Linked DNA regions of Callithrix jacchus. The protein of the gene in region 6 interacts with the protein of the main gene of each other region in a pairwise test. Links are inferred from orthologs where the notes say so. Each region holds a gene or a part of one and is shown on either strand. Other genes may lie near its edges.

What was found.
Region 1: the proteins of MYOG (region 6) and EIF4E2 interact in binary tests that used the Homo sapiens proteins (3 or more experiments, as listed by UniProt). The two-hybrid records come from large-scale screens. The link is inferred for Callithrix jacchus from reciprocal best matches to the Homo sapiens genes MYOG and EIF4E2.
Region 2: the proteins of MYOG (region 6) and FTL interact in binary tests that used the Homo sapiens proteins (3 or more experiments, as listed by UniProt). The two-hybrid records come from large-scale screens. The link is inferred for Callithrix jacchus from reciprocal best matches to the Homo sapiens genes MYOG and FTL.
Region 3: the proteins of MYOG (region 6) and H2AP interact in binary tests that used the Homo sapiens proteins (3 or more experiments, as listed by UniProt). The two-hybrid records come from large-scale screens. The link is inferred for Callithrix jacchus from reciprocal best matches to the Homo sapiens genes MYOG and H2AP.
Region 4: the proteins of MYOG (region 6) and POLR2C interact in a two-hybrid assay, tested with the Homo sapiens proteins (2 studies listed by BioGRID and IntAct). The link is inferred for Callithrix jacchus from reciprocal best matches to the Homo sapiens genes MYOG and POLR2C.
Region 5: the proteins of MYOG (region 6) and CLUAP1 interact in binary tests that used the Homo sapiens proteins (3 or more experiments, as listed by UniProt). The two-hybrid records come from large-scale screens. The link is inferred for Callithrix jacchus from reciprocal best matches to the Homo sapiens genes MYOG and CLUAP1.
Region 7: the proteins of MYOG (region 6) and TXNDC9 interact in binary tests that used the Homo sapiens proteins (3 or more experiments, as listed by UniProt). The two-hybrid records come from large-scale screens. The link is inferred for Callithrix jacchus from reciprocal best matches to the Homo sapiens genes MYOG and TXNDC9.

The regions. Positions count from the first base shown.
Region 1 is NC_133507.1:153,927,112-153,931,325, forward strand, and holds the start of EIF4E2 (eukaryotic translation initiation factor 4E type 2), read left to right. Parts: upstream 1-1,414; 5' UTR 1,415-1,450; coding exon 1,451-1,470; intron 1,471-4,214. UniProt on the Homo sapiens protein: Recognizes and binds the 7-methylguanosine-containing mRNA cap during an early step in the initiation. Acts as a repressor of translation initiation.
Region 2 is NC_133523.1:42,798,139-42,801,416, reverse strand, and holds FTL (ferritin light chain), read right to left. Parts: upstream 2,124-3,278; 5' UTR 1,920-2,123; coding exon 1,818-1,919; intron 1,657-1,817; coding exon 1,510-1,656; intron 1,094-1,509; coding exon 968-1,093; intron 796-967; coding exon 643-795; 3' UTR 501-642; downstream 1-500.
Region 3 is NC_133524.1:38,777,956-38,780,436, forward strand, and holds H2AP (huntingtin-interacting protein M), read left to right. Parts: upstream 1-1,445; 5' UTR 1,446-1,506; coding exon 1,507-1,860; 3' UTR 1,861-1,981; downstream 1,982-2,481.
Region 4 is NC_133521.1:15,349,338-15,352,083, reverse strand, and holds the end of POLR2C (DNA-directed RNA polymerase II subunit RPB3), read right to left. Parts: intron 2,544-2,746; coding exon 2,375-2,543; intron 2,223-2,374; coding exon 2,148-2,222; intron 1,524-2,147; coding exon 1,379-1,523; 3' UTR 501-1,378; downstream 1-500. UniProt on the Homo sapiens protein: Core component of RNA polymerase II (Pol II), a DNA-dependent RNA polymerase which synthesizes mRNA precursors and many functional non-coding RNAs using the four ribonucleoside triphosphates as substrates.
Region 5 is NC_133513.1:5,645,511-5,649,010, reverse strand, and holds part of CLUAP1 (clusterin-associated protein 1), read right to left. Parts: intron 3,403-3,500; coding exon 3,346-3,402; intron 461-3,345; coding exon 311-460; 3' UTR 264-310; exon of another isoform or gene 1-263. UniProt on the Homo sapiens protein: Required for cilia biogenesis. Appears to function within the multiple intraflagellar transport complex B (IFT-B). Key regulator of hedgehog signaling.
Region 6 is NC_133520.1:30,128,787-30,132,888, reverse strand, and holds the start of MYOG (myogenin), read left to right. Parts: upstream 1-1,302; 5' UTR 1,303-1,354; coding exon 1,355-1,825; intron 1,826-2,572; coding exon 2,573-2,654; intron 2,655-3,267; coding exon 3,268-3,389; 3' UTR 3,390-4,102. UniProt on the Homo sapiens protein: Acts as a transcriptional activator that promotes transcription of muscle-specific target genes and plays a role in muscle differentiation, cell cycle exit and muscle atrophy.
Region 7 is NC_133515.1:8,919,376-8,922,774, forward strand, and holds part of TXNDC9 (thioredoxin domain-containing protein 9), read right to left. Parts: intron 2,374-3,399; exon of another isoform or gene 758-2,373; intron 461-757; coding exon 206-460; intron 1-205. UniProt on the Homo sapiens protein: Significantly diminishes the chaperonin TCP1 complex ATPase activity, thus negatively impacts protein folding, including that of actin or tubulin.

The DNA.
Region 1 (4,214 bases), on a different chromosome or scaffold from region 6:
TGAAAGTCCTAGATGGCATCTTCTTCCAATAGAAGGCTGTTTCCTCTACGTTGAAAATCTGTTGTTTAGTGTAGCCGCCTTCATCAATGGTCTTAGCTAAAGCTTCTGGATAACTTGCTGCAGCTTCTACATCAGCACTAGCTGCTTCACCCTGTGCTTTTATGTTATGGAAACGGCTTCTTTCCTTCAACCTCATGAACCAAGCTCTGCTAGCTTCAGACTTTTCTTCTGCAGCTTCCTCACCTCTCTCAGCCTTCATAGAGTTGAACAGAGTTAGGGCCTTGCTCTGGGTTAGGCCTTGGCTTAAAGGAACGTCGCGGCTGGTATGATCTTCTAACCAGGCCACTAAAACTTTCTCCATATCAGCGATAAGGCTGTTTCGCTTTCTTATCATTCGTGTGTTCATTGGAGTAGCACTTTCAATTTCCTTCAAGAACTTTTCCTTTGCATTTACAACTTGGCTAACTGTTTGCCGCAGAAGGCCTAGCCTTCGGCCTATCTCAGCTTTTGACATACCCTCCTCACTGAGTTTAATCATTTCTAGTTTCTGATTTAAAGTGAGAGACGTACGACTCTTCCTTTCACTTGAGCACTTAGAGGCCATTGCTGAGTTATTAATTTGCCTCATCTCAATATTGTTGTGTCTCAGGGAATAGGGAGGCCCAAGAAGAGGGAGATGGGGAACAGTCTGTGGGTGAAGCAGTCAGAACACACACAACATTAAGTTCGCTGTCTTATAAAATATAAAAGATGCAGTATGTGGCACTCCAAAACAATGACAATAGCAACATCAAAGATCACTGATCACAGATCACCATAACAGACACAGAAATCATGAAAAAGTCTGAAATATTTTGAAAATTACCAAAATGTAACACAGAGACACAAAGTGAGCACACGCAGTTGGAAAAATGGCGCTGATACAATTGCTGGGCTCAGGGCTGCCACAAACCCTCAATTTGTTTTTAGAAAGCCCTATCTGCAAAGCGCAATAAAACGAGGAATACCATAATAGAGTGGCGCCGCCGCCAAAGGAAAGCCTTGGGGAGGTTAAGAGAGATGCCGGAGGGTGCGTCCCGCACTGGAGGAGGAGGAGGAGGGTTTTTACCAAAGCAGCGAGTCCAGAGTCCGCGCCGTCAACGACCGCGGTGCTGTCTTTTTTCCGAGCCGCTGCGGGAGGGTGCCAGGACATGCTCCCTTAGGAGAACTGGCGGCTCACAAACACCGGGACTGGGAAAAACCTGAAGCCAGCAGTCAGCTCCGCTGCCTAGGCCAGCCCTCTGCGCAGCCGCCCCGGGCTGGCGTCCCGGGATAGCAGCCCCCAGCCGGGCCTGCGCGCCGACGTTCCGGTGCGCCTCGCGCAAAACCGGAAGTAGCCGGGCCTAAGGCTGAGGGACCCGGTGGAGCGGAAGTCACTCCTTGAGGCAGTGGCGACAGCGGCGGCGAGAGGATGAACAACAAGTTCGACGCGTGAGTGGCTCCTGGCCGCCCCTGGGGCCCCTTCCTCCAACCGTTCCCCGCTCCCGCCCCCACTGGGGCTGAGGAGGTGCAAAGCCTGCGGCACCGGCTTCCCTCCCGGGATCCGGCAGCGGCCGGACCTGGCCTGGGCTGGAGGGGAGGAGGGGGCTGGGGAGCGATGGCTACAGGGGTTCCTGGGACCCCAGGGCCGTCCGGACCGAGGGCGAAGAGCTGGGCGTGGGGAAGGGGTGGCTGTGCCGCCCTGTAGGGGGAGATTTTCGGACGCCCCGCCCCGAAGATGCGGGTTGCCGGCGACGTGGAGGGGTGGGGACCTCGGCGGTTTGGGTGTTTCCGCAGTCTGGCCGCACTGCCTTTGAATCTAGCTTTCCTCACACACTCCCTCTCCCTTCTGAGCCTCAGTTTTCTCATCTGCAGAGTGGGGACGGTAACAGCCTGTGTCTTAGAGTTTAGCGGATGCAGGGAGGTAACGTGGCTGCTGCGCTCGGCGCAGTGGAAGGCTCGCTTAGGAATGATATTCCTGAGACTCTACTTTCTTTCTCCTCCCCCTCCGGTTCCCATCTTCCTACACATTCGCCCAGAGCTAGGTATACTTGTTGCCCTCTCCGGTTCCTAGTTTCAGCATCAAACGGTTTGGAGGTACAGAGAGAAAATGCAAAAGTATTTTTACTTATCCCCCTCCAAGGATTGTATCTTGAGGTAGAATATGCTCCTACTCTCTTCTAGTAAATCTGTCTCTTCATCCGAAGACCTGGATTTCTAGTCTCAGACTTACCGCTTTCCAGCTGTTTGCAGAAAAGTTACCCAGTCTCTGAGTCGTTGTTGCTTAAACCACATTAGTGGATAGTATCCTGCTGCCACACCGGGGTGTGAGAAGGGTCAGCTCACACTCAGCAGTGCTTAAAGATACTTGTGAACATTGCTAACTATTGCGATATAACCGTAAAGTGGAATTACTATTAGTTTAGGTTGTGACCTGGTGCTATTGACGGGAAATTGGGTTTTTTTCCAATACAGCGAGTACTGTGCAAATTCAGGGAGTACTGGATTTCCAACACTCCAGGCAGATGGCTCCTCAGCAATGTTTCCTGGCTGCCGAGATGTCTCTGCTATTTGAGAAAGTCTTTTCTCTATCCTGCTGTTTAACTGAGCCCATCCTATACGAACCTCTCCCCTCACTCCCACCCCATTTCATCTCTCTTGTAAACCGTGCAACACCCAGCTTCAGATCCAAATCCTGCCTAAGTGGAGCTTTCTGGGACCCTTATTCCCCTTCCTCCACTGATTTGAACAAATCAAATTTCATCCTAAGAAGACGTTTTATGGGTCATCTAGCTTAAGCCTACCCAAATCATGTGGGGGTCTGCAGTAAGAATGGTAATAATGGACTTCCACAGGGATCTTGCTAGGTACTTTTCATATAAATATATTTTTACAGACAGAGTCTCACTCCGTCACCCCTGGCTGGAGTGCAATGGTGTGATCACAGCTCACTGCCCACTTGACCTCTCGGGCACCAGCAATCCTCCCATCTCAGCCTCCAGAGTAGCCAGGACCACAAGCATGTGCTACCCTGCCTGGCTAAATTTTTTTGTATTTTTTGTAGAGACAGTTGCACCTTGTTGCCCAGGATCTCAAACTCCTGGGCTCAAGAGGTCTACCCACCTTGGCCTCCCAAAGTGCTAGGATTACAGGGGTGAGCCACCGCCCCCAGTCTCATGTTATTTCTACTCTAACAATTCTGAAGGGGATCTTGTTATCTCCTTTATGGATAAGGAAAATGAGACTGAGGTTAAGTAACAGGAAGCGCTCTCCCAGGTTTGTGGTGTAACCTTGGTTCAAGCACCTTGAGACAAAAATTATATTTGGCCTTTTTTTTTCCTTATGTCTTTAATGAAAAACCTGGGTCATCTTAATTACTTTGAATTATTAACTATTACATTGAGCCAGAATCTTTTAACATCTGCCCTCTAGCATTGCAGGAAAGAAAATGAAAAACAAGCTTTCTTTCATTTGAAATTAGCAATTGAAAACAGCGCTCCTGGCCCTAGTTTTATTTTTTTATGTTGTTTTTCATTCAGAAATTCTGTGGTGTTTAGGCCATTGCTGTATATTTGGAGTCTTTACCACGTTACTCTCCTTACTAATCTTCACTCTTTACCACATTGCTCCTGAGGACATGTTTCAGTTTGTCAGAAGCCTAGAAGTCCAGTGGCTGGAGCTTAGTACATAATCTAGTGGGCTCAGATTAAAGAGTAGCTCTACTCTCCATTACTGTATAGACTCAACTTCTCTGAATGAAACCTTTTATTGTAATTGCTTTCGTGGAGAAGGGGTAGACTTGCCAAGTCCTTAGATCACATTGCCATTGATCCTATTGATATGTAAAACCCTAAGATGCTATCACAAAAACTGCAGTCCTGACTTTGTTAAACATGGTTTTCAGATCTAGACAACTATACTGATTTTGTCCCTATTCTATGTCATTTGCTTTTTACTCTGTATCGTTAACTTTGGGCCCCTTCCTAACTATTGTCTAAACCACTTATTTGGCACTCATTGCTTTGATTCTAGAGACCATTCATTAAATAGGGATTTGTTTTATGCCACTGTCTGATGGTGGTGGTATAAAGATGAATTGAACTAAGGTCCTACCCACAAGGAATTGGTCTAGTTCAGAGGGTGAGGAGATACCTGGGCAGAAGCTTAGCAAGCTGACTTAAGTGCCTCTCAATCTG
Region 2 (3,278 bases), on a different chromosome or scaffold from region 6:
CTTTTTTTATTCTTTTTGGTATTTTTAGCAGAGACAGGGTTTCACCATGTTGGCCAGGCTGGTCTTCAACTCCTGACTTCAGATGACCGACCACCTTAGCCTCCCAAAGTGTTGGGATCACAGGTGTGAGCCACCACACCCGGCCATGGCACACAATATTTAAGAGATTGGCATGATGCCTGGCCTCACCATCACCCATTAAATAGGGCTGTTTCTGGCTACTGAGACCTAACAGATCTGTTTCCAGGGACCAACCTGAGTCTTAATTCAACTCCCTGAATTCTATCTCTACCATCTGGTAGGGACAGTTAACAGCCAGGCAAGCAGAGAACCCTCAGGCTCAACATAACCCACAGACAGCTCTTGTCTTAGAACAGATAAGAAAACCGGAGATGCAGCCAACGCCTTTTTCGCTGCCATCCCAATCCAGCCAGAAGCTTTATGAGAACAGATCCCACCTCATCTTCTGCACCAACCACACCACACACAAAACCACCAGCTGCTTCAAATAGCTTTATTTCCATTTGGTCCAAGGCTTGTAAGGGTAGTTAGAAAGCTGCCTAGTGGCTGGAGGGAGAGGCTTAGGCAGAAGCGCTGTTACTTTGCAAAGGCCCTTCCTAAGTGGCCGGGCTCAGCAGGCTCTTAGTCGTGCTTGAGAGTGAGCCTTTCAAAGAGATACTCGCCCAGCCCAGCCTGTGGGCTGGCCAGCCTGCGGAGGTTGGTCAGGTGGTCACCCATCTTCTTGATGATTTTCACTTCCTCATCTAGGAAGTGACTCTCCAGGAAGTCACAGAGCTGAGAGAAAAGAGGAAGAAATTAGAAACCCAGTCCCTGGAAAAGAGGGAGAGCTCCCAACTGCAGATTGAAATGTGACAGGTGTGAAATGTGGCTCTGAAGGAAATCTGCCCAAAGGGAGGCAAGGCTTGAGGGGTATGGTTGGGTAGCGATGGATGCAGTGGGTTCTTACATGGGGGTCCGTGCGGGCAGAACCCAGGGCATGAAGATCCAAAAGAGCCTGGTTCAGATTTTTCTCCAGGGCCATGGCGGCTTCCATGGCGTCCAGGGTTTTACCCCACTCATCTTGAGCCGGCTTCTATACAGGAGGGAAAGTGCTCAGAATACACACACCGGCACAAAGAACCAAAGTGACATTTCCCAAGAGTCGTTGGGGATCAAAAGGACATGTGACCCTTGTATTTATCACTCCGAACTCCGTCCTTTTTTTTTTTTTTAAATGGGGTTTCACCATGATGGCCAGGCTGGTGCCACCGCGCCCGGCTACTCCGTCCTATCTTTTACAACGACATCTATAGAAGACCACGCAGCGGTGTGGACTGCCGCATCATGGGGGCACTGCACGACGTGAGACACCATTTCCAGCTGTTAAGAACGCTTACAAAACCGAACTCAATCTCCCAGAAGCCCACGCGACATCTAAGCCCACAAGCCAAGGCGCCTCGCGCGCACGGACTGCTGGGAGATGTAGTCCATTACCCTCAAGCCAGTTACCTTGATGTCCTGAAAGAGAGCGCGGCCGCCACGCTGGTTTTGCATCTTCAGGAGACGCTCATAGCCCTCGCGTTTCTCCTCGGCCAATTCGCGGAAGAAGTGGCTCACGCCTTCCAGAGCTACATCATCGCGGTCGAAATAGTAGCCCTGCGGGAAGAGATGGAGGGAACAGTGGTTAGCGAGAGGCGAGGCCAGGGGGAACTCCGCCCTCTGTTTACCCGACCGGACAAAGAAAGCCGGCGCCTGCGCCGAGGGCCGGAGGTGCGCAGTTGGAGGAAATTAGGGCCAGGGGCGTCCCGGGGACTCACCAGAGAGAGGTAGGTGTAGGAGGCCTGCAGGTACACATTGACCAGGTGGTTGACGGCTGCCTCCACGTCGGTGGAATAATTCTGACGAATCTGGGAGCTCATGGTTGGTTGGCAAAAAGGAGCTAACCACAAAAACGGTGTTAGCAGGTTCCCAGAAGCAGGAGATGACCGAGAAGATGGTCCCGGAGGTTGCAACTGGAGAGGAAACTGGAGGGCGGTCGGAGGCTGGAAGAAAGAGTCCCCGGGATCTGTTCCGTCCAAACACTGTTGAAGCAAGAGACAGATCCGCGGGACCGCCGAACTGCTATGGGACGTGGCGAGGGCGGCTCCCTTTATAGTGCGCGGGCCCTCGGGGGCGGGGCGTTCGGGGCGGGCGATCGGCCAATCTGCGGTGGCAGGAGGCGGGACCGAAGGCCGTGCCTGACCAATCCGGAGCAGAAAGGAGTCTCAGCCCCCCGACCCGAAGCAGGGCGAAGTCACGCGCCTGTAACCCGAGGCTGTTGTGAAATGGGGGATGGGGGTTGGGGGCCCTGGGCCTGCTTCAGGGAAGTGAAGGGTTTCATGAGCGGGGTGAGGGTCCCTCTGGGAGCGAGAGTTGTATAGGAGCATTAAGAGCCCTGTGAACTGATGAGCCTGGGGTCCTGGGGTGTCTCGGGAAAGTAAGTCAGATTCTGGGGTTTCCGAGGGCATGGATTTTTTCTGGAACCTTGAGTCTGGAGAGGGGCACCTCAGAGGCGCAGAGAGGATCTCTAGTTGTCCTAGGTTTGCGCTGCGAGATAAGGGGGTCTCGGGATCCTTGGGAAGTTTGAAAGGCTGTAGGTGAACCCCTGGGGATCTCTGGGAGACGGAGGGTTGGGGGGACTGGAGCCCTGGGGTTTACAGAGGCGAGGGTTTACGATGCAAAGTCTGTATTTTTTTGGAGCCCTCCCAGAAGAGATCTTTACGTCTTTGAGATTCTCTGCAGCTTGGAAAGGGCAGTTGTTCTGGAGCCGTGGGGTTCACCCAGTGCTGGAAGCCCGGGAGGAGCATTGTACCAGGTGGGGTGACTTCTGGAACGGTGGACAGCCTTCTGGACCCTCCCAAGATTGGCTGGGCCTTTGGGGATACCTTGGAGCTCTTTCAGGGGCCCAGTGCTTTCCTGGGAGTGGACACAGGGAGGAATGCAATGTCTCTTTCGAGCTTTGCAGTGTCTCTGGGGCTGCATTTCCTGGGGGCTGTTTTGAAGCCAACCCCCTGGCCTCGAGAACTTTGAGAATTCTCCTTGGCCCTGAAACAATCTCTAAAGTTGCCCCAGTGTCTTGGCTGACATGTGCTCCTTCAGGCCCACCAAGAGAAGCTCTGCGTTGTGGACCGATGGACGAGACATCTGTCGTCGGCTGATGCGGATTTTTTACGTGGGCCTGGTCCATGCTGATTTCTGGGAGACAGTTGGCACAAACATTGACCCTACTTAAGCGCCCT
Region 3 (2,481 bases), on a different chromosome or scaffold from region 6:
TTTAATGATATAAGAAATTTTCAGCCTATCCAGATTGCAAAAGACACCAAAATTAGTGAATTCACTGCCATGAAATCATCCTACAGAAATAAAATCAAAGGCATGGCTAGCCATTCTTTTGTTAGTGCCTTTAAGGGATGAAAAGACCAAAGTATTCAATCACACAGATGATGTTTTGAAGAGATATGGGGTGTGCTTCTCAAATATGCAAGGAATAGAGACGGAATTTTCTGAGAGATCTGTGAAGAAGACTCTGTCTAATGGCATGAATCCTCATGACATACATAAAACACATGTAAGTTTTTGAGAATGTTATATCAGCAGAAACAATGCCAGCTTAGACTGAAAGAAAGAAATAGAGCAAGAAATGAAAGAAGGCTATAGGACTCCCAAAATTTGACAGGAGAAAGCAGGCTGATAAAACTACTCGGCTGTAAACACATGCTACCATTCAAAATAAAGGAAAAATGACTGAGGGCAGAACCAAGAGACCAGAGGGAAGATTTATTCCCCCAGGTGAAGTTACAGGATCAGAGTGATCAGAGGGAGGGGTCTCAAGCTGTAGACTATTCCCAGGCCTTGAAACCTAATGGTTAGATTTTGAAATTGTTTGGATTTGAGACTATTTTCTTTCCACTATTTCCCTTGTGAAATGGCAAAGTTATTGGCTGTAAATGAACAAAACTCAAAGGGAAAACACAGAATTAGCAGAGAGTAAAATTAAATAATAGAAAAGAAACAACTCTTAGTGCTTTGGCTTCACCTAGGAGAGACAAGAAATACACATCTGGGCTTAAACTGAGCACAAGATGCACTTCTCCATCAACTATGTTTACCTGGCACTGACAGGTATTGAGCATCTTATTATTAATTGCAAAATGATTAAAAAATATTTTTCAAATAGAGTAAAATCATGACACTCATACAGATATGAAATGAACATATACTAAAAGAAAAGGTTATTATAACAGGTTCAAAAGGGAAACCAAAGAATTGATATGGGAATATTCATCAGGAATATTAAATGATTGTGTGTAAATGGAGGTAAAATTGGTTTCATTAGGTGAAGGACAACTGAACCTCTACTGAAGAATATATCATCCATGTATCTGTGGCCTACAAGTAACAAAAACCTATGCAAGATTTCAGAGATAATGTAAGGCTAGAATCAGATAATTTGCAATGATGTCCTAAAGATAGAGCAAAGTTTTCCACTGAAACACACATTTATTTTTACAATGTCAAAATCAGATAAAAAGTTATAGTTCTCTCAAAATCAGGATTCAGTCATTAGGGTGACTAGGTCAGTGTCACAGACATTTCTAGGCTGAGGTCTGCTCAGGGAAATTCCAAAGTCTAGGATGTCACAAAGGCAGCTAGCTCCCTGACCAATCAGGGCCTGGAGCAGAGAGATACAATGGGCAGGACTAAGTGCCAGTGTCCTTGGAGACCTGCTCAAGCAGGAGAATCAAGCATAGCTCAGCAGAGCCAGACCAAGCAAACATAATGTCAGAAACAGAAAACTGTAAGAACTCCCCTACAAATAACAATCAGAATCAAGAACCTTCAAGAAATGAGCCACAGGTCCCTAGGACCTTCGTTGACCGCCTTCTTCAGGATGAACGAGATGCCCAAAGCCAGACTTCCTCCATGATAAATAGCCTCCTTACCTTGCTCGATTGCCTTGGTGACTTCATCATGGAGCAGGTAGGCCTGGAGGCCAGCCACAATGACAGTATGAACAACACTTCACAAGATGCGGAGAGAGAAGTGGACAACAACCGTGAGCCCCACTGCCTCGAGAGCGATATAACCTGCTTTCTGTTGGATGGGATGCCCAAATCCGAGAAGAATGGCTGAAGACCGAGTTCCAAAGCCTGGAAGGGATCCTCTCAGGCTTAACCAGGGCAAAAACATATCATAGCTGAGGAATCCCTGCTGTTGTCATCAACAAGTGCTATTAAAGGATGTAAATCCGTGAGTATGTTTCTGACTCCACTTAGTTTCCGTCACTTTGGGTTGGAGGTGTTTGTGAGACATCTAGGAGAAGCTATTCCTAGAGAGCTGAAGGGGTGTAGGGGTGGCCAGTGTGGGGAGTTTTGAATTAATGATTTTAGAGGGGGCAGTCTCCAATAGTGACTATGAGGTCACTGGCCTTTTGGGGAGGAACTGGCTGGGGTAGACACAGAGACTTCCTCATTGCCTTGGAACAGGAAGGCCTTGTGAGGCCAGGGGGTTGGCTGGGGACCTCTGAGGCTTGTTGAATTCCCAGCCTGATGCTGGGGCCTGGGGTGGAGCTGCAATCTCTGACTGAGGTGCTGGAGGCTTCATTCAGGATAGCAAAGGTCTGAAGTCAGATGGCGGCGGTCACAGAGGTGGATGGAGAGGGGGCACACTGGCTGGCATGAACTTAATGGGACAGGGGCTTTACATAGACATTGAGGAGTGAAGGAAAAACCATCACGAAAAATGCATAAAAGA
Region 4 (2,746 bases), on a different chromosome or scaffold from region 6:
TGGCCCTGTCTGGCCACTCTGGCCAGCCAAAAGCACTCTGAAACCAAGACCTTCCCATTTCCTCCTCCCCACATGGTGCTGAGGCTCCCTGCTGAAATGCAATTAAAGCAATTGATTTTCTAGTGCTGGTGTTTGTTGACTACCACGCAGAAGGGCTATCTATCTTTCTATTCACATCAAACCTTTGGTTGTGTGGGGTTTTTGTTGTTTTTTGCGTTTTGTTTTGTTTTTTAAAACTTTAGGGTCCTGATTTGTGGGAACAGACCTTCTTGTAAATAACCACTATTTGAGTTGTGGCAGGAGGATGATAAAGCATGCGGCCCCTCCCAAAGGAGCCCTTGAGCCAGAGAGGTGGCACAGTCAGCTCAGCTCTCAACGTGACCAGGGAATGACCACCCAGAGGGATGAGCTAGCCTGAAGGGGGGAACGGGGGTCCAAAGGTCTTTGGCGGGGGAGGCAGAGCTGGCTGGCTCAGCTAAGTGGCACGATGACGCATGAAGGAGATTATGTTGTGCTCTTTATTGCCAAAAATAAACACTTTTAAAAAGACAACTTCTGTTAATCAATAAATATCCTTTCCTTTCTGTACTGGATCTCTGCTTTTCTCCAGGCTGCCTAATTAACTTCTTTGTGTGTTCCTACCCGGAAACAGTGCTAAGGGGTTAGGGCCAGAGCCTTCATTAAGGAGAAATGAAATACTTCTCCTGTGTATGTGGGAGGGGCTCTTGCTCCTGCGGCTGCTTCCACCCCCACCACCACCACCAAACTCAGTGATTAGGCCACTGGTGGCGAAGGGGTTCATAACTGCTGGTAGAGAATGAAATACTGTGTTTATTTGGTGGGGAGGGGACAGCCAGGGTGTAATGCTATTCCCAAAAGATTATTTCTCAAATGAGGGACACCTGGGAATATAAAGTGCCAGCAGGCCGGCCCTGGAGCAAGGACTAGAAGGGTTTATAAGCTCCTTGAATCAAGACTGTGGCACTGGATCCTAACACCAGAAATCTAAGGTACAACTGAAAATTACTCCTTTTGGACAGGAAGGATTTAGCGTAAAGACCCAGACTAACCAGGAGAGAAGTTCAGTGGGTTCCCTACAGGTGCGCTGCAAACAGACTGGAAGGGACGTTCTGGGATCTGGGGAGCCCTGCTGGCAATTACTAAAAGCAGTCAGGACCAATAAAAACCTGTCCTGCCCAAACACCACCGCATCCCTGGTAATCTATCTATGACCCGCTTCTAGTTGGTACTGATGACCTGCCAAGAAGCTCAAGAAGCAGTAGACTAAATTCCCAGAAACTAGAAGAGCCTCAAGAGAGACCCTCAAATCCAGCTGCTGGCCTGAATCTCCGTTTTTGCTGAAGCAGGCAAGCTGCAGCTAATTTATGGTTAGCACGTCACTCTGGATCTCGTGGCTTAATTGAGTTTGTAAATCACTCAGTTTCTTCTTCAATCCAGAGAGGGCTGACAGAACAATGGTTTCAGGACGCAGAGAGCCACAGGACTCCACATTGTAGTAAAACCTAGGAGGTAAGAGTCCAGTGAGCACCCTGCAAGGCAGGCTGGCCAACCTGAGCTCTGGCCATGGAGAACCCTTCCTCGTTCAGGGTCTTGGCTCTGTTCCCACATGGAACTTGACCTTGGGCCGGGGCTGACTTCCCTTCATCTAAAACCTCTTGCATAGAGTAGTTTCAACACACTGCATGACCTCAAGGAGGCTACAACTACCTCATAAGAGTACCTGTGAAAATCCTCAGATTCTGTATGAACACACACCTCACTGAGGAGAGAGTAGAAAACCATGTGAGCAGTGACCAGTGTCACAGCCCCTTCAGTTGCCCCTGTGGAACTTGGGTCAAAATCTCTGCCCCTAGATTTGATCTGAAGAATCTTTTCTTTGGGGGCTGAAAATCAGAATAGGAAAAACCGGTAACTGGAGGGTCCTCTTTGTCACAGTGACCAAAGTGGGGGCTGGCGACATGCCCCCAGGGCATACACATAGCAAATAGCCAAGTTCAGCAGTCAGCAGCCCCTCCTCAGCTTACAAGAACTTCAAGGTGGGGAAGAAGGACTGCCGAGCCCAGAGCTTGCACCAAAACCATCCCTTCTGAGCCCCTTCACCTTCTCATGTCCAACCAGGGTCTTACCTCTCTGGCTTGCCATTGGGGTCATAGGGAGCCTGCGACTCATCCTCATCCAGCTCCGAGTACTCACTCTTTGGCCTGAGGTCAAACACAGGTCAGCACAAGGTTGCCACTGCTGCTTTTGGGGCACTCAATTTCCTAGAGAGCCTGCCACATCTCAGTCACCAGCAGCCATTTCCATGCCATGCCCACCCCCCAAATGCCTGCCACCACTCCTAAAGGGAACATACCATTCCTCAGGCTTGGGGTACACTGTGTGCCTCAGGGCATTGTCTGGATCATATTCAAAAGCCACCCCTGCGGTAGGGTTCCATTTGGCATGCTCCTTGCCAAAGCCCTTTTTGGCATAGGCCCGAAGTCTCAGCTCCTGGCCCTTTCTCAGCTTGACGATGAGAATGTCTGCAGGGGGAGGTACAAGTCAGTCAAGGCCCTGGAGAGAGACGGTTTTCCAAATTCTGACTTGGGAGTGCTACTGCAAGACGACACACATCTGGAAAATTGGGTCTAAAGCCAATTTACGATGAGACTAGACAGTACGAGGCTGTGCCTGGTGTCTGCATCCCACTGGCCCACACAGTGACAGGTCAAGAAGATGTCTGCAC
Region 5 (3,500 bases), on a different chromosome or scaffold from region 6:
CTTGCGTGGCATCAGCTCTTATTTCTCCTTGAGTTTTTGTCCTGCAGATGTCAATCACTAACAACACTCACATTCCTCAAGTTTTAGGAGATAAAAAGGTGAAAAAGAAAAACAAACTGAGATTTGCTTCCATTCTTATTTAAGCTTCATGGAATGCAATCACAGGAGCCTAAAGCAGAAATAAGTATTGCTTCAGTATTCAGAGTCCAGCTAGCTTCGTGAGCAAAACAGGAGCCACCTTCCTAACCTAAGTTCCCATTTACCTACACAACTGAGGATTTTAATCTGCCTGGGTCCCTTAGCAAGAAGGTCAGAAGTCGTTGTCACTGTCCTCCAGCGGTTCAGGTTTCTGGACCCTTTGATTGGGCTTGGTTGGCGAGAGAGCAATGCTCTCATCTTCCAAATCCTCATCCTCCTCATCATCATCTTCCATGTCAATTTCACTGTCCTCCGAATCCTCCTATAGGAAAAAGACGGCAGATACAACAGGGGGTCCCACCTCATTCCTGACATCTTGTCCTAGGATTCTCTGCTTCCCTTTCTATAGCAGCATCCCCATGTGAAGGAAGAGGCTGGCAGAATGGCAGGCAGGCTGTGGGATGGCACACGGATGGGACTGAGGCAATGTTCTGCTGGCTGGAATGTATCATTCAACCAGAATCCTTCAAACACCAGGTGCATCTGGGTGTGGCGCTACAGGGGCTGGCCTTGCCACAGTGTCCCAGAAGCACTCTGGATCTGAAATGAGGACCACAGGACCCAGAGACCCCCCACTACAGATGGCAAGGAGGGCAAAGGTTTGGACAGAGGGAAGGGAGGCCTGTTTTGGCTTTTTGCAGATTGTGGACGGAAAGCAACACAGGCATGGGTATAAGGAGCAAAGTAAGACACCCTCTCCCTCATCAGATCCAGCGCACCCAATCAGCTCAGCTTTAAAATGGGTCCTGCACCCCGTGGAAACCAGGAGGGCCGGTCGTTCTGTCTACATCATTCCTGACAGCGCACACACATGCTTTAATTTCCTTCTTGAAAAAAAAAATCCATTATGTATTCCCACCCTCCTCTCCAGCTGCTCTGGCCCGTCTCCCTCCCCGCACGCAGAGCTCCTGAGTGAGTTGCTGAACTCACTGTCTGCACCTGTGTCCCTCACGGCCGCTTCAGATTCCTCGGGCTCTCACCCGCTGACCCCAGGACTGCTTTTGTCAAGAGTGAAACACTCAATAAAGTGGAAAGATTCTGAGGCCTCAACTTGCGTGAGCGGTGGAATCACACCTTCAGCCTTAAAACCAATCTCCTCCAACCCCCAGGGCCCCTTCTCTAGTCCAGGTCCCCCTCCCTCAGCTTCCCCAACCTCTGCAGGGCAGAGGCAGCTCACGAGCTGGGGCCGCCTCCCTTCTCGTTCTACTTGCTCTCCCTAGGCAGTGACACCTATCCTGTGGCTTAGACCCCATCCAAATATGGGCGGCTCCAAGAATTCAATCTCTAGCCCAGACCTGGCCCTTGAACCCCAGACTTAAATTCCACCTGGCTACTCAACCCTAGCATGTCCAAAACCAAACTGTCCTTCTGCCCTCCAAGCCCCTTTGTCAAGTTGGCCCAATCTCAGAAAATGAAACACTGCTTTCTGTTGATTACACCACAGCCCAGGCACCCTCATTTCTCTAATAGCCTCTGTCTGATCAATTCATAAAACCTGATGGTTCTTAGAGACATCCAGGACCTGCCCAATTCTCAACACCTCTGCTGCCACACCTTCAGCCAAGCACCATCACCCGTGACCTCCATGGCTGCAGGTGCCTCCTAACTGGCCTCTCTCAGATGGAGGTCAGCTCTTGGCCTTTCTGGGCTCACAATTCTCCAGGGCCTTCTCCTTGCACTCAGATAAAACGCAGAGTCTTCATCTCACCCTTCAAGGCTCTGCATAGCCCCCGCTGCCTCTGTCGCTCACCCACAGTCACGCCAGCTCCCTCTGCTTCTTGACGTCAAAAGCGCATCCACACACCCACGTACTGCCAATGTACATGCTTGCTCCCTCCACTCAGGCCCTGCTCAAACACCAATAGAGCCCTTTGCTGACCTCATGGAAGATGCCACTGCCTCCTTTGTCCCTGTCACTCCCTGAAGCTGTTATTCCTCCTGTTAACAGCATGAGCCCTGATCCTCGGCTCCATTGTTATTGCTGCGGTGCCAGCTATGAAGCAGGGGCTTTTCTCTGCCCCCTTGCTGTGTTCCCCAAGATCCATGATAGCACTGGCACTGGCGGGCACTTGACAGACATGTGCTGGATGCTGAGTCAACACATAAAGAACGGAACCCTGTGCCTGGAGGGCTGCATGGATACAGCCTCCTTGAAATTAACAAGTGACCACAAGGGATAAAGCTTAGCTGCAACTAACACATTCTCTCAGAGAATGCAAACACTGAGGAAGAGGCAGGCCGTGCTGACCTTGAATCCCCAGTGCCCATGTCAGACTCCCTCAGCTTCTGTCTTGGGTAGGCAAGATGGAGAGAAGCTATTTACCATCCACGCCCGAGCTTGTTAAGGAAACTACTTACTAGGTGCTCTCTCTGCTTCTCTACAGACCTTGACCTGTGAATTCAAGACCCGATCTCTGTGCATGCTGCCAGCAAGTCTGGGCAGCCTCTCCCCACAGTGAATTCCGCAGCAGCACCAGCTGCGGGTGTGTAAATCTATGTGCACGAACACACGGCCCTGCTTCTGTCTCTGCAGCCGCTAGTGCCATGCCCCAGACACAGGTGCACCCACTAATGGAAGCAGCCTGGGGTCACTCTGTCTAGCTGCCCTTTGCTGTGAACTGAGCAGCACTTCCAGGGACGGCAACAAAGAACAAAGGCCTGAGTAATGGCCAGCAGAGCCCTGAATGACGGGACACCCACGAAGATCCCCAGGCTCCCCTTCTGGTGAAGTGCTCCAGTGAGTTATCCACTCATTAAAGCTCAAGGCAACCTGCCATCTCAGCCTCATCTTACCCGGTGCCCCTGAGGGCCTGGTCTGGGAATAGCACTGCTTCCCAGTTCCTTCCCCAGTACAGGGTACAGGAGAGGGCTGGTCCTGGGCCAGGCCCTCAGCATCCTCCTTCATTTCTAGATTACAGCCCAGGGCCCAAAGGCTGCCCAGCCTGAGCTTTCCCCATCTCCAGGCTCGGGGCTTGTGCCTCCTTCTTATCATAGGGGCCTTTAATGATCCCGCTCTCACTGTGGGACCCCTTTCGAGAGGCTTTTTGCTGAGGATAGAGGAAGCATCACTCCTAGGGAGAGGCCCCCGACTGGCCCTGGAGGGCTGACAGACACCCACAAACGAACGAGGCAGAACAGAAAACCAACCTGCTTCCTGGAGCTGGAAGTCTTGCATTTACCTAACAGAGCTGGTGCTGCTTCCGTCTTTGGAAAGCGAGAATGGAAAGAACAGTGAGAAGGCAAAAAAAAGCAGAGCAAGCACATTCACTTGAAAAGGAATGAGCCATCCATGAGCAAGCAAG
Region 6 (4,102 bases):
GAGGTGACCACTGTTGTCTACCAGATGGTAAGGTCGAGGGCAGGGACCCTGTCTGGGGTGTCCCTATAATTCCCAGCCCTAAGACTGAGCCCTGTTCATGCTGTTGTCTGAAGTCTGCCTACTGCATTGGAAGGAATTTGTCCTCTCAGATCCTGAGGCACCTACTGAGAGGTGATCATGGCCTGAGAGGCCTGAAGATTAAATAGTCCCTGCTCCACCTGACATTTGAGACCTGCATGTTACTTGTAAAATTGATGCCTTGGACAGAAAGAGGCAGAACAACCAAGCCCGGTGGTCAAGGAGAGAGGAGATTTAAGCTGAGTTTGAAGGCTCCGTTATTTCTCCTTTCCCACCCCCATCCACAGTAATGAGTCAGGAGAATTCTGGTGCTGGAAAAAGAGTTGAGGAGGTAACATAGAAGGACAAATCAATGGTCCAGAGTGAGACAGGGAGGAGACAGGGAGCTTAGTAATCTTGACCTTGATGCTCTGGGGAAGGTGGCAACGTGTAGGCTGTAAATTCTAATCCCTGCTCTGACCACGGCCGCTGTATTAAAGAGAAAATTTCTCTTGACCCCTGGCAAGAAAACCAAAACCCAAATAATTTCTCTTGCCTCAATTTACCCCCTGCCATCACATGAGACCTAAGAGAACATACAGGTCAAAGCTGCTTGGGAACCCCGAAAGTGGAATCCATGAGCTACTCTGAGTCTCGATCCTTCTTATCCCTGGATACTGAGTGCCCGTGGATACCCAGAATCTGAAGCAGTCCCATTCTTTTCGGAGGGAGGTCTTTAAGAGTCTCATCCGACTGATGTAGTGTAATTAAGGTGCTATCAGGAAGCAGGGAGATGGATAAGTTGACTCTTAGGGCCCCTTCCAGCCTAAGCCTACCTTTCCTTGTTCCCTCCTCCCCCTACAACCACCAGCTTCTTTAAGACTAGCAAGGAGAGAGTAGGCAGGCCGCCCAGCTAGGAGTAATTGAAAGGAGCAGATGAGAGGGGAATGTGTCCTCCCCCAATGCCCCTTGCCCCACCAGGGCTGCTGAGAAATGAAAACTAATCAAATTACACCCGACAGCCTCCCAACCCGTGCACAGGAGCCCGCCTGGGCCAGGGGCAGGCTGGCTGGGTGGGGTGGGGGCCATAGGGGAGAGAGAAGGGAATCACATGTAATCCACTGTAAACGTCTTGATGTGCAGCAACAGCTTAGAGGGGGCTCAGGTTTCTGTGGCGTTGGCTATATTTATCTCTGGTTCCATGCCAGCGGGGAGGGTTTAAATGGCACCCAGCAGTTGGCGTGAGGGGCTGCAGGAGCTTGGGGGCTGGTGGCAGGAACAAGCCTTTTCCGACCCCATGGAGCTATATGAAACATCCCCCTATTTCTACCAGGAACCCCGCTTCTATGACGGGGAAAACTACCTGCCTGTCCACCTCCAGGGCTTCGAGCCACCAGGCTATGAGCGGACAGAGCTCAGCTTGAGCCCTGAGGCCCGAGGGCCCCTCGAGGACAAGGGGCTGGGGACCCCTGAACACTGCCCCGGCCAGTGCCTGCCGTGGGCATGTAAGGTGTGTAAGAGGAAGTCGGTGTCCGTGGACCGGCGGCGGGCAGCCACACTGAGGGAGAAGCGCCGGCTCAAGAAGGTGAACGAGGCCTTCGAGGCCCTGAAGAGGAGCACCCTGCTCAACCCCAACCAGCGGCTGCCCAAGGTGGAGATCCTGCGCAGCGCCATCCAATACATCGAGCGCCTGCAGGCCCTGCTCAGCTCCCTCAACCAGGAGGAGCGAGACCTCCGCTACCGGGGCGGGGGTGGGCCCCAGCCAGGGGTAAGTGGCCATCCCATCCTCCTGCCCCAGGGGCAGGGCGCCAGAGGGAGGCACCTGGACAGCCTCAAGACCCCAACAGGGGTTCGGAGGGTTGAAGTAGGTGCCAGACAGGATTGAGGGGCTGCAGGAGCCCTTCCCTGGTCAGAGCTGGGCTGTCCAGCTGACCTCCCGTGTTCTGTGTTCTTTCCCGAGGAGATAAAGGCAGTGGGGAGGAAGTACAGGGGGGTGGGAGTGGGGAACACAGGACTAAAGAAAGGATCGGGAGCAAGGCTGAGGATTAACCCCAGCGCCTGAGTCAGAGCCTAAATGGCCAGGCCAAGTTCGCCAGAGAAGACTGCCTTGTCCCCCGTCTCGCCCCATCCTGGGTGTGGCTGAGCAGAGAGAAAACCCACTCAGTCTCACTGGAACTCCAGCAGGCCTGTGCAGAGCGACTCTCACTGGGCCAGTCTGTTCCCATTACCCTTATCCCCAGGGTCAGGAGAACCAGGGATCCCTTTAAGCTGGTGTCCTCTGAGGGCAGAACCACCACCCAGAATGGAGGCCAGGAAGGCCTGGAAGCAGGGCCTCTGGGGAGTGGAGGAGCTGGTTGCAAAGATTCTGGGGTTGGGGATGGCCTACACTGGAAGGCCACAGCCTGTGGCCCACCCTCTGACCCCACCACAGGTGCTTCTGCCCACTGGGACTAGGCAGACAGACACATCAAAGAATGGCTGTGCCCTGACCTTGGGCCTTCGCCCTGTCTTGCAGGTGCCCAGCGAATGCAGCTCTCACAGCGCCTCCTGCAGTCCAGAGTGGGGCAGCACACTGGAGTTCGGTGCCAACCCCGGGGGTAAGTGAGGGCAAACTTGGCTCCAATCCCTCAGTCCCTCCCTGGGCCAGGTTCTCCCCTCTTACCTTCTTCCTTGCTCTGGTCCTCTTCCTTGGGTCTCTGCAGGGACCTGCGGACTCCAGGGCCCAAAGGGTGGGCTGGGAGGTTCCGTGTGCCCCTATAGTCTTGACCAGCAAAGGAGTGATGGTGGCTCCTGCAGCTCCCCAGCTGATGCCTGGTGGCTGACCTTCTCCACAGAGAGGGCAATGTCCCCGCCCCAGGGGTCCCTGCGAAGTGCTGAGTCAGTGCTGCAAAACTGGGCCCAGAAAAGGGCAGGTCCAGTCTCTGAGGAGCTCCATCCTGCTCCAACTGGAGTGGTGCTTCCAAATCCTACCTCACTAGGGGATTTCAGAGAGGAGGGGAGCATGCGCGTGCACACACACACAAACACACACACTCACACACACAGAGCATGGGGAAAGGCAGGGACTAGGGAGTAGAACTCCCGAGCTTTGTCACCCATCTGTCCTGGAAAAACTGTGTCACCCCAAGGGTCCCATTCCCCATTCCCCCATTCTGGGCCTCAAGAACCCCCACTGCTCACTCAGGCACCACCTCCCACCTCCCCTTACAGATCCTCTGCTCGCGGCTGACCCTACAGACGCCCACAACCTGCACTCCCTCACCTCCATCGTGGACAGCATCACAGTGGAAGATGTGTCTGTGGCTTTCCCAGATGAAACCATGCCCAACTGAGATTGTCTGCCAGGCCGGGCATCCTTGTGAACCCCCAAGCTGGCCACAGATGCCACTGCTTCTACAGCAGGGGCCTCCTAAGCCAGGGCACCCTGATGCTAGGAAGCCAGCTCTGGGGTGCCATAGGCCAGACTATCCTCTTCCTCATCCATGTAAGGTTAACCCACCCCCCAGCAAGGCAATGGATGCCCTCATTCAGCTGCATCCTTGGAGGGCATCCCCTTTCCAGGGAGGTAAAGCAGGGGACCAGAGCACCCCCTGGTGTATGCCTCAGCTCAGGGGGCAAACTCAGGAGCTTCCTTTTTAATCATAATGTGGCCTCTAATCCCACCCCCCAAATGAAACGGTTTGAGAGACAAAGACAGTGTCCTGACCTGAACAAGCTGTGCATGTCTCCTGTTCTGGTCTCTTCCCAATGCCAGTGGCTGGGCTGGGCCTGCCCTGAATTGAGAGAGAAGAAAGGGAGAGGAACAATCCTCTGTTCCCGAGTCTCTGGGGGGCCAAGCTTTTGCAGTGAATATTGGGAACCTTCCAGTGGTTTTATGTTGTGTTTTGTTTTGTTTTGTGTGTTGTTTGTAAAGCTGCCATCTGACCAAGGTCTCCTGTGCTGAAGTTGCCAGGGACAGGCAGGGAAAGGGGGTTGGGGGCTCTTGGGGGTGATTTCTTTTGTTAACTAAGCATCGTGTGGTTTTGCCATTGTTTTGTATTTTTTT
Region 7 (3,399 bases), on a different chromosome or scaffold from region 6:
AATCAGTTTTATCTGTAAATCTGATTTTGCTGTAAAATCATTCTAATAACACATGCTTTAAGAAATATGCTTTTCCTTTGAGAAACTTTCTATGCCTTAGCCGAAAGGTATTAATTTCATAAAATAAATGTTACAATACAAAAGTCCTCTGTAAAAATATCAACTATATGAACTAAAATCAGTATGATCTTTTGTTAAAAGTTACCTGTAATTAAGAATGTCAGAACAACCGAGCCTCCATTCTAAAGTTTCTGTGGTGAAGTCATCTGTATTTCCCAGGTCAGTAAACCCAACAACATAATCTTGTGTTTTCCCGTCTTTTACCAGTGCTAGTGTGGGAATGACTTTGATATGCAGTCTCTCACAAAGGAAAGGTGCTTTTTCCACATTCAGCTTCAAAAATTTGGTCTCGAGGTGTTTCTTGGACAATATCACCAGATGTCTGTCTAGTATTTTACACCTGTACGTAACCACATAGAAAATTATAAGCTAAAACCACAAATCTTTTTTCCAAAATAAATGTCATTAAGGTAAATCTAATAATTATATAGTTTTTCTGTTGAGTCTCATAACATGGCAGCCAACCTGCAAGTGTGTCAGATGACCTCAGTTCCAGATCAAAGGTTAGCTGCCTGATTATGAGATGGGAAAACAGCCTGTAAGATTCTAGAAAGTCAGATTTGCATTAACGATATTATCCTTTAAAATATTAAATATATGCTTTAAGTCATAAAGGAATTTGTCCTATCTCATACAGGAAAACCTGAGAAGGGACAAAGTGAAACTTCACAGAACTCAGAAGAGACAAGAATCAGAAATGCACACATGGTGCCATATTTGGAAGTCATGAAGAAGAACTGAATAGCATCACTGAGGAAAAACTCCTTGCTTCTAAATATGAAACTCGAAGCACATTAAGACTAAGGGTTACTAATAATATTTAAATAAATTTGGCCATTATGCTTTTAGGGAATTAAAAAATACCCATAGTAACTTTTATTAAGCCATCTTCCAATGAAGAGGGAAATAGAAGTAAGATTTTCTTGGCTGGGCACGGTAGCTCACGTCTGTAACCTCAGCACTTTGGGAGGCTGAGGTGGGCAGATCACTTGAGGTCAGGAGTTTGAGACAAGCCTAGCTAACATGGTGAAACCCTGTCTCAACTAAAAATTTAAAAAATCAGCTGGGTTTGGTGATGTGTGCCTGTAATCCCAGCTACTTGGGAGCCTGGGGTAGGAGAATTGCTTGAACCTGGGAGGCAGAGGCTGCAGTGAGCCGAGATTGTGCCATTGCACCCCAACCTGGGTAACATAGTGAAATTCTATCTCAAAAAACAAAACAAACAAAAAAGTGACATCTTCTTTATATTAAAATTTATTTTCTGGCCTGATGCAGTGGCTCACGCCTGTAATCCCAGCATTTTGAGAGGCTGAGGTGGGCAGATCACTTGGGGCCAAGAGTTCAAGACCAGCCTGGTCCATATGGTGAAACCCTATCTCTACTAAAAATATAAAACTTACCTGGGTTTCATGTTGGGCACCTGTAATCACAGCTACACAGGAGGCTGAGGCATGAGAATCGCTCTGACCTGGGAGGCAGAGGTTACAGTGAGCTAAGATTGCGCCACTGCACTCCAGACTGGGCAAGAGAGTGAGACTCTGTCTCAAAAAAAAAATTCGCTTCCAACTGGCCAATTCATGACTGTTTCTAAAACAGACTGTTGCAACAATCTTTTAGACTGGTGGTTCTGAACCCTAGGTGTTCATTATGATCAACTTTTATTTATTTATTTATTTATTTTTGAGGTGGAGTCTCACTTTGTCACTCCGGCTAGAGTGCAGTGGTGTAATCTCGGCTCACTTCAACCTCACCCTCCTGAGTTCAATCGATTCTCCTGTCTCAGCCTCCCGAGTAACTGGGATTACAGGCACCCATTGCCATGCTTGGCTAATTTTTGTATTTTTAGTAGAGACAGGGTTTCACCATAGTGGTCAGGCTGGTCTCAAACTCCTGACCTCAGGCGATCCACATGCTTCAGCTTCCCAAAGTGCAGGGATTACAGGTGTGAGCCACCATGCCCCGCCAGGAACCTATTTTAAATAAGTCTATAATTATACCATTTGTCAATCAATTTCTAAAAATTCAAAAGCAACAGTCATGGTATAAATAGCTATAGGCCTTTATGTACATTTAAAAATAACTAAACAAGCATAATTAAATTGTTTATAACACAAAGGATAAATGCTTGAGATGATGGATACTCCATTTACCCTGATGTGATTATTACACATTGCATGCCTGTGTTAAAATATCTCATGTACCCCATATTTACCTACTATTGGCCACAATAATTAAAAAAATTTTTAAAAAGCAGTAGGCTGGGTTCAAAGCTCAAATCTCTCTCTGTTTTATCATTTAATATCTGAGTGATATTAGGTAAGTCACTTAATTTCTCCAAGTTTTGTTTCCACACATGAAATGAGTGCCTCTGAAGATTATTGTGACTGTTCCAGGGATAATATTCACAAAAGCATTCCATCTACTATGTATGAGGAACTCTGTTAATATATAAAGTTAATTGGATGATTTTCATTTTAATTTTTCAGTTCTGTTTGAAGGTGAGTACTGCTGGTGATGTACCGTTTATACACTCATCAAATGTGTTTATTGACCACCTACTATGTGTCAGGCAGTTGCTTTAGGGCTATGATCCCAGAGCACAGTGGGCCACAATACAGGCAAATGCTCTGCCTCTACAAAACCAACAATTTAGTTGGGTAAGACATAGAAGAAACTAGTGAGGCTGGGTGCCGTGGCTCACGCCTGTAATCCCAACACTTTGGTAGGCCAAGATGGGTGGGTCGCCTGAGGTCAGGAGTTTGAGACCAGCCTGGCCAACATGGCAAAACTCCATCTCTACTAAAAATACGAAAATTAGCCGGGCATGGTGGCAGATGCCTGTAGTCCTGGCTACTTGGGAGGCTGAGGCAGGAGAATCCCTTGAACCCAGGAGGTGGAGGTTGCAGTGAGTCAAGATCCTGCCATTGCACTCCAGCCTGGGCGACTGTGTAAGACTCCATCTCAAGAAAAAAAACCAACCCCCCCCGCCAGAAAAAAATAAAACCCAAAACTAAACAAAAAAAAAGTGGACAAATAATATTTTATATACCAGTATATTTACGTATCACCTCATCATATCTGTGAAAGGTTGGCAACTTGAAGAATGTGTGGCAATCGAAGTTAGTTGTGTACCACAAGGGCAGAGTTTTCTCTGATACCCTTCTGCCTGCCTAATCCCTTCTCTCCCTGTTCCTCACAAGAGATAACACCATCTCAATATTTTCTTTCATTTTTATTCTCTTAGTCAATGAATCCCAGCAATCAATTCTTGAAAGGTGT